2 linked regions of the Ovis aries genome follow. The protein of the gene in region 2 binds, or shares a complex with, the protein of the main gene of each other region. Links are inferred from orthologs where the notes say so. Each region holds a gene or a part of one and is shown on either strand. Other genes may lie near its edges.

The links. Proteins that work in one complex are often made in the same cells at the same time.
Region 1: the proteins of MUS81 (region 2) and EME2 are in contact, whole or in part, in a crystal structure (PDB 7F6L), measured with the Homo sapiens proteins. The link is inferred for Ovis aries from reciprocal best matches to the Homo sapiens genes MUS81 and EME2. Residues at the interface, in NP_079404.3 of Homo sapiens: His330, Glu351, Phe354, Lys357, Arg358, Arg363, Val365, Glu381, Leu385, Gln386, Thr389, Asn390, Gln392, Val393, Ile394, Phe398, Lys400, Arg401, Tyr411, Leu414, Leu415, Arg417, Gly418, Leu419, Arg421, Leu422, Pro447, Ile464, Lys467, Ala468; in NP_001244299.1 of Homo sapiens: Glu140, Arg177, His179, Glu220, Glu221, Val224, Leu225, Gln227, Leu228, Trp229, Asn231, Leu232, Asp233, Leu235, Arg245, His246, Ala249, Val250, Lys252, Ala253, Leu254, Gln256, Tyr257, Lys260, Gln261, Glu264, Gln266, Phe268, Phe270, Cys271.

Annotation. Positions count from the first base shown.
Region 1 is NC_056077.1:1,876,398-1,879,410, reverse strand, and holds part of EME2 (probable crossover junction endonuclease EME2), read right to left. Parts: coding exon 2,841-3,013; intron 2,761-2,840; coding exon 2,590-2,760; 3' UTR 1,655-2,589; coding exon of another isoform or gene 1,335-1,654; 3' UTR 1,246-1,334; coding exon of another isoform or gene 675-1,245; 3' UTR 605-674; coding exon of another isoform or gene 430-604; 3' UTR 1-429. Other genes in the region: SPSB3 (SPRY domain-containing SOCS box protein 3), read left to right, coding at 430-604, 675-862, 945-1,245, 1,335-1,654. UniProt on the Homo sapiens protein: Non-catalytic subunit of the structure-specific, heterodimeric DNA endonuclease MUS81-EME2 which is involved in the maintenance of genome stability. In the complex, EME2 is required for DNA cleavage, participating in DNA recognition and bending.
Region 2 is NC_056074.1:40,417,957-40,421,122, reverse strand, and holds the end of MUS81 (crossover junction endonuclease MUS81), read right to left. Parts: coding exon 3,135-3,166; intron 2,578-3,134; coding exon 2,461-2,577; intron 2,370-2,460; coding exon 2,274-2,369; intron 2,084-2,273; coding exon 1,955-2,083; intron 1,876-1,954; coding exon 1,772-1,875; intron 1,272-1,771; coding exon 1,188-1,271; intron 1,102-1,187; coding exon 1,035-1,101; 3' UTR 720-1,034; downstream 1-719. Other genes in the region: EFEMP2 (EGF-containing fibulin-like extracellular matrix protein 2), read left to right, coding at 1-124. UniProt on the Homo sapiens protein: Catalytic subunit of two functionally distinct, structure-specific, heterodimeric DNA endonucleases MUS81-EME1 and MUS81-EME2 that are involved in the maintenance of genome stability.

The DNA.
Region 1 (3,013 bases), on a different chromosome or scaffold from region 2:
GCCACGGCGATCGGGCCCCCAGAGCCCAGCTGCTGCTCCAGGGAGACCAAGCTGCCTTCGTTAGGTCAGTGATGGGCTTTGCCATGGGCTCCCCTGTGTATCCGTGACCTAGGGGCTCCTGACCTTGAGGGATGGCTGAGTGTGCAGCCCCGCCAGGGGCTGATAAGCCACCGGGCCTCCAGGGCTCTCAACTCCATTCCCAGGAAGCTTCCTCATGGTCGGCCTTTGAGGAGGAGGCCAGAAGAGGTGTCCGTGGTGGCAGCGGCTGGCTGTGTCCCGGGGCCGGGGTGGTCCCCTGGAGGCCAAGCCCCAGGTCTCTCCCTCGGGACGTCCGGCTGTTGAGCCATGGGCCTGCAGCGGGGCAGGCGGGTGGAGGGTGGCTGGGCCGGTACCGGCAGGTTGGGCGGCGACATCTCCTATGTCCTTCAGCACAGTGACTCAGACTCTGACCCTGAGTGCGCGTCCCTGCCGTCGTCCATCCCCAGCGCCGTGCCCGTGACCGGGGAGTCCTTCTGCGACTGTGAGAGCCAGAGCGAGGCCTTCTGCGGCAGCCTGCACGCCGCCCACCGGGGCCGGGACTGCCGCTGCGGCGAGGAGGACGAGTGTGAGTGCCGGGCGTGGTGGGCGGTGCTCCGGGTGGGCCGGGGCTCAGCTGGGGCCTCTCGCTCTCGCAGATTTTGACTGGGTCTGGGATGACCTGAACAAGTCCTCGGCCACCCTACTGAGCTGTGACAACCGGAAGGTCAGCTTCCACATGGAGTACAGCTGTGGCACGGCCGCCATCCGGGGCACCAAGGAGCTGGGGGAGGGCCAGCACTTCTGGGAGATCAAGATGACGTCGCCCGTCTACGGCACGGACATGGTGAGTGGCTGGTGGGGCCAGGAGGTGGGGGTGCTGCCAGGCGCCTCGGTCCCCTGCCCCCTCTGCCCGCTCCCGTTCCCAGATGGTGGGCATTGGGACGTCGGACGTGGACCTGGACAAGTACCACCACACATTCTGCAGCCTGCTCGGCCGGGACGAGGACAGCTGGGGCCTCTCCTACACAGGTGCGCAGGGCCCGGGTGGGCGGGGCTGGGGCCCCCAGGCTGTGGGGCTCAGCCCGACCCTGCTGCCCCCAGGCCTCCTCCACCACAAGGGCGACAAGACGAGCTTCTCCTCGAGGTTCGGCCAGGGCTCCATCATCGGCGTGCACCTGGACAGCTGGCACGGGACGCTGACCTTTTTCAAGAACAGGAAGTGCATAGGTGAGGCCGGGACCTATGTGGCCCCAGGGAGCAGGGCCAGAGCCCCCGGGGGGCTGAGTGCCCTGAGGCTGTTCCTCCCCCCGCCCCAGGCGTGGCGGCCACGCAGCTGCAGAACAAGAGGTTCTACCCGATGGTGTGCTCCACGGCGGCCAAGAGCAGCATGAAGGTGATCCGCTCGTGCGCCAGCGTCACCTCCCTGCAGTACCTGTGCTGCTACCGCCTGCGCCAGCTGCGGCCCGGCTCGGGGGACACGCTTGAGGGCCTGCCCCTGCCGCCCGGCCTCAAGCAGGTGCTGCACCACAAGCTGGGCTGGGTCCTGAGCATGAGCCGCCAGCCCCCCGAGCCCTCGCCCGCGGCCAGCGGCCCAGAGCCCCGGCGCTGCCAGCGGAAGCGCTGCCGAAGGACCTAGCCTGCTCCCTGATCGAGACCCCCGGGGCTGGGACGGCGTGGTCCCCGCCCCTGCCTGTGGACTGCCCCAGGGCCGCCGAGGGGAGGACCGAGCCGAGGTTTGTCCCGCTGCCCCTCTGCTGCCTGAGGCTGGGGCGGGCCTCGCCACAGGGGCTCCCAGCCGTTAGCCCTGTGACCCCAAGACCCAGCCTGTCTGCTCCGGTGCTGGGCATGAGAACAGCTGCCGCCCCAGCGCGTCTGGGTTCAGGTCTGGGGGGCTGGCAGGGAAGGGGCTGGGGGCCTATGGGCTGCTGCCTGTGAGGAGGACGCAACTTGAGAGGTGGGCTCTCCCTGGCACCACCGGCCTCACGTTTTTCTTAACTTGCTTTGCATGTTGTCAGCTCTGTTCCTCCTGTCTGGGGCTGAAAGCAACCATAATAAACTCGAAGTCTGATGTCCACCTGCCTATAGAATGAAGTGGGTCAAAGTGAGGCCTGGGGCTCACAGGTGTCCGTGCTTGTCTCCTCTTGGGGCCTCACGGTACCCTGGGGAGAGGTAGCCTGGTTCTCTCCTCCCTCTAAACCTTGTCTTAAAAATGAAGGTACTTCCCCCCCAACCTCCCGGTGATGGGAGTTTCCCCGGTGGGATCCGAGGCCCCTGCAGCCCTTCCTGCTGGTGCCAGCTGTCTACCAGCCCCTCGGCCAGTGTGCATGCTCAGGGCACGTGAGCCCCACCCCAAACCGTCTCTAGACCTTCCGCAGGCGAGAGAAGAATTTTCTTCTCCCAGTTATGCAAGATTTCTCTCTGCCGTCCCCTCATCCCCCAGCTTGGGGTCAGACCTGACTAAGCCCCGGGTTCGGGGCGCACCACCCCCTGTGGTTTCCCACGGGTCCTCTGGGAGGCTGTGTTCACTCCTGCCTGCAGGCGGGGGACGCCCTGTGCAACCCACGGGCCTGCTCAGGAGCCCAGGTCCAGCAGGAGGTCGGGGTCAGTGGTGGTCAGGAAGAGGCAGATGCGGCGGGAGAGGTCGGGCCCCACCCTGCGGGGTGGCGCTCTCTTGCCCGTCTTCACCGGGAGGTCAGCCAGCAGGGCCAGGCGCTCCTGCTCCGTGCCACAGGCCTCGTACGCCTAGGGAGGGCGCAGGGGTGAGCGGCAGGCCTTGGGAGCTGGCCCCCATACCTGGGGTCTGGGTGAGGGCGGGCACCCACCTGCTGCAGCAGGCGGGGGGATGGGAAGGCGCTGACAACGGCATCGGCCACGGCTGGGCTGACGCGGTTGAACTGCCTGACCTGCCGCCACCAGGCCCCCCGCAGCCCCATGCCGTCTCTGGCCACTCGCTCGCCTGCCGTCCAGCGCCCAGAGGTGCAGAAGGGGAAGGCCC
Region 2 (3,166 bases):
GCCTGTGACGGGCCCCCGGGAGTACGTGCTGGACCTGGAGATGGTCACCATGAACTCCCTCATGAGCTACCGGGCCAGCTCTGTACTGAGACTCACCGTCTTCGTGGGGGCCTACACCTTCTGAGGGGGGGTGGGGGGCCCTCAGGGAAGGGGAGGTTCTCTGTAGCTGAGGAGCCTGGGGCTCAGGGATGACTGTGTTCTGCTAAAAGGAAAGATGCTCTTGTGAAGGGTAGTAGAGAGAGAAAGGCAATAAAGGGAGAAAGAAGGAGTTCTGGTGGCTGAGGTGGGGGGGTCACACTGCAGTGAACCCCGGAGCGGGGAAAGGCCAGGCTCATGGGAGGGGGGCCACGTCCACCTAAAGGCAGGGCGTGTTTCTGCCCAGGCTGAAGGGCCCCATTGACAGGAGCTGGGAGCTGCACCCCCAAGGCTGGGACTGGCCTACATACCATGGGCACCAGAATCACCCAAGCAGCGAGGAGGTAACGAGGCTGCAGACTCCAGGCCCCAGCCCAGAAACTTGGACTTGGCTGGTCTGCAGCGGGCTGAAGAATCCTGCTCTAGACAGTGCCAGGAGGCCCTGGGTTTCAATCCCAGCTTGGCCTCAAACTATCAGTTTGGAGAAATCCTAGCAGCTCTCTGAGTCTCAGTGTTCCAATCCATAAAATGAGGCCACTGGATTGTTAGCGCTTTATAAACTTTTCTTTTCCAAGCTACAGAACTTCTCATCAAAGGAAATTTTATTTGATCAGAGAACTCTGATGACATGAACTCGATTCAACGTTGCAATGCCTCCCTGACTCCGTCTCCCTAGCAGTGCTCTGAAAGGGAACCCCAAGGGTCCTGAGGAGCTCAGTTTTAAAAACTGGACATGACAGTCTCCCCAGTTCCTGGATATTTTTCAAAACCCCTGGGGCCTGGTATCCCCTTCTAACACGTAGAAATGCACACACTTAAGATTTACTGTAGTCCAAAGATTCTGCTTAAAAGACTGGGTGGTCTGGGAAGATGGGGGTCTGTCTTGCGGCATACATAGCTCAGGTCAGAGGGCCATAGCTGCAGTAGAGCTGTGACAAGGTCCTGCTCAGAACGGGCCCCAGATTCCTGTGCAGAGAGAGAGGCAGGTAGGAGTCAGGCCCTGGCCGAGGGCAGCCCACCTACCCCCTGCAGGCTCTGCCTCCTGCCCTCACCTCTGCAGCGGCCCACACTTGATGGTGCTCAGCAGCATTTCCTGTTCCTTTGGGGTGGCACAGGCATCATAGGCAGCCAGTAAGCTGAGGGCGGGATGGGGAGTTGGATTTTCTAAGTCTTGACAACAGCTGACTGCTAGCCCACCCTGAGTAGCTCAGGCCAGAATCACGGGAGACAGGCTAGAAGGGGTCAGCCTGGGTGGGAGGAGTCAGGACCACGGCCGCCCTTCCGAACCCGGCCTTCAAGGCCCTGCTCCATCCTGCTCACCCTCCTTTCGTGCTCCTGCAAGTGTTTTCCCAGAACGGCTGCTCTTGGCCCAGTCTTCATGGTCTACCCACTCCTCCAGGAACCCTTCTCTGCTACATGCCAGGTCTCTCCCCCTCCCCAGTGCCCGAGATTCTGTCTGGTCTTGGGTAGCTCTGTCTTCCTCACCACCTGACCTCCATGAACCCTTCAGGTGTCAGCGGGGTCAGTCCACCCCTCATAGCACCCAACCACCCACAAGGCACTGGTTGAGCTGATGCCCATGCTGAGAGGGGGGATGCGGGCGACAGCAGAGGACAGGGGTTCCGTGAGCACCTACCTGGCAGGGCTGCTGTACCGGGCCACCAGGGCTGCTGCCTTCTCCCCGCTCACCCCACGCACCTGCATGAGCTGCCTGGCAAACACATCCCGAACAGACTGGGCCTGCAGTGGGGGCAGTGCTGCATCAGGAGTGGTGGGGGGCCGGAGCCTGGGCGGAGGAGGGGCTGGGCGGAGGCGGTACCTTGTTCTTCATGGCTCCCGCGTTGAAGTCGCTGAAGGTGAGGAGCGAGCAGAGCGGGTTTGGGGAGGGCCCGGCCTTTGATTCAGGGTCCCCAGAGGTGCCCCAGGGGCGGCTGCGGACGGTGTGACCCTGAGGGAAGAGCGGACTGAGGCCCGGCCAGAGCTCTAGGGGCCACCACCAGCCAGGCCTTGCCCCATCCCAGGCCTCAGGGGGCCAGCCTGAGACCAGGGAGCTCAGTCTCCTCGCCTTCCTCGCGGGAGCACAGCACCCAGGTGAGGGGCCGGTGGTGAACAGACGGTGCCTGGTGGAGTCTGCTCACCTGGTAGAGCCTCTGCAGGCCCCGCGTCAACAGGGCCAGGTAGGCAGCCGACTCCTTAATGTCCGCTGTGCGCTTCACAAAGAAGCCGTCGATGACCTGGGGAAGGGGAGCCACAGGAGCAGGCAGCTCCTAAGCGGAGCCACCGACCGCAGGCCCCCTGCCAGCCCGGCCCGCCCTCCCGGCTCACCTGGGTGTTGGTGACAGCCTGCAGCAGTGTGCTCTCAGGGAGGCTGAGGCTGCGCGCCGAACCATGCTCCTCCACCAGGTACACTCGGCGCCCCAGGCCACAGCGCTTCAGCCGGAACTGGGCAGGCAGACAGGGGTCGGGCAGGTCAGGCCTGGATGCTCATACGCTAAGTGTCCACCACGCCACCCTCAAAAGCGTCATGAGACCCTGGTCCCACCAGTTCGCCAGCCACTTCATCCTCCCGAGCTTCTCCACCTGCCTCACAGGGGCCTCCACACCCTGGCTTACGCTGCTGCTCTCCCATGGAAAGCCCCACCACCATCTGAGTGATGCCCATCCCTCCTCAAGCCTCCCTTGGCCTACATGTGGCCTCACCGTGGGGTCAGCCCAGCAGCCAGCCCGGAGACAGAGCCCCTGCAGCCCCACCCTGGAGAGGAGAGCCTTGTCAACTCTGGACTGCAGGAGCTGGACCCCCTAGGGGTCCTTAATGTGCTCCTCAGCTCCGCCCAGGGACCCTGCACACCTACTGTGTGCCCAGAGGGGCCCAAGGGAGTTTGAGTTCAGGCCACCCTGGACCAGCTCAAGAGGGGATGTGGCTGGAGTTGCAGGAGCTCTGCCTGGAGACCACCCGGAAGTGCCCCCGAGCGGGTGGGGGAGTGAGCCCCGTGACGGACCTTCTGCTCCCGGAAGCGGCCATCGATGATGC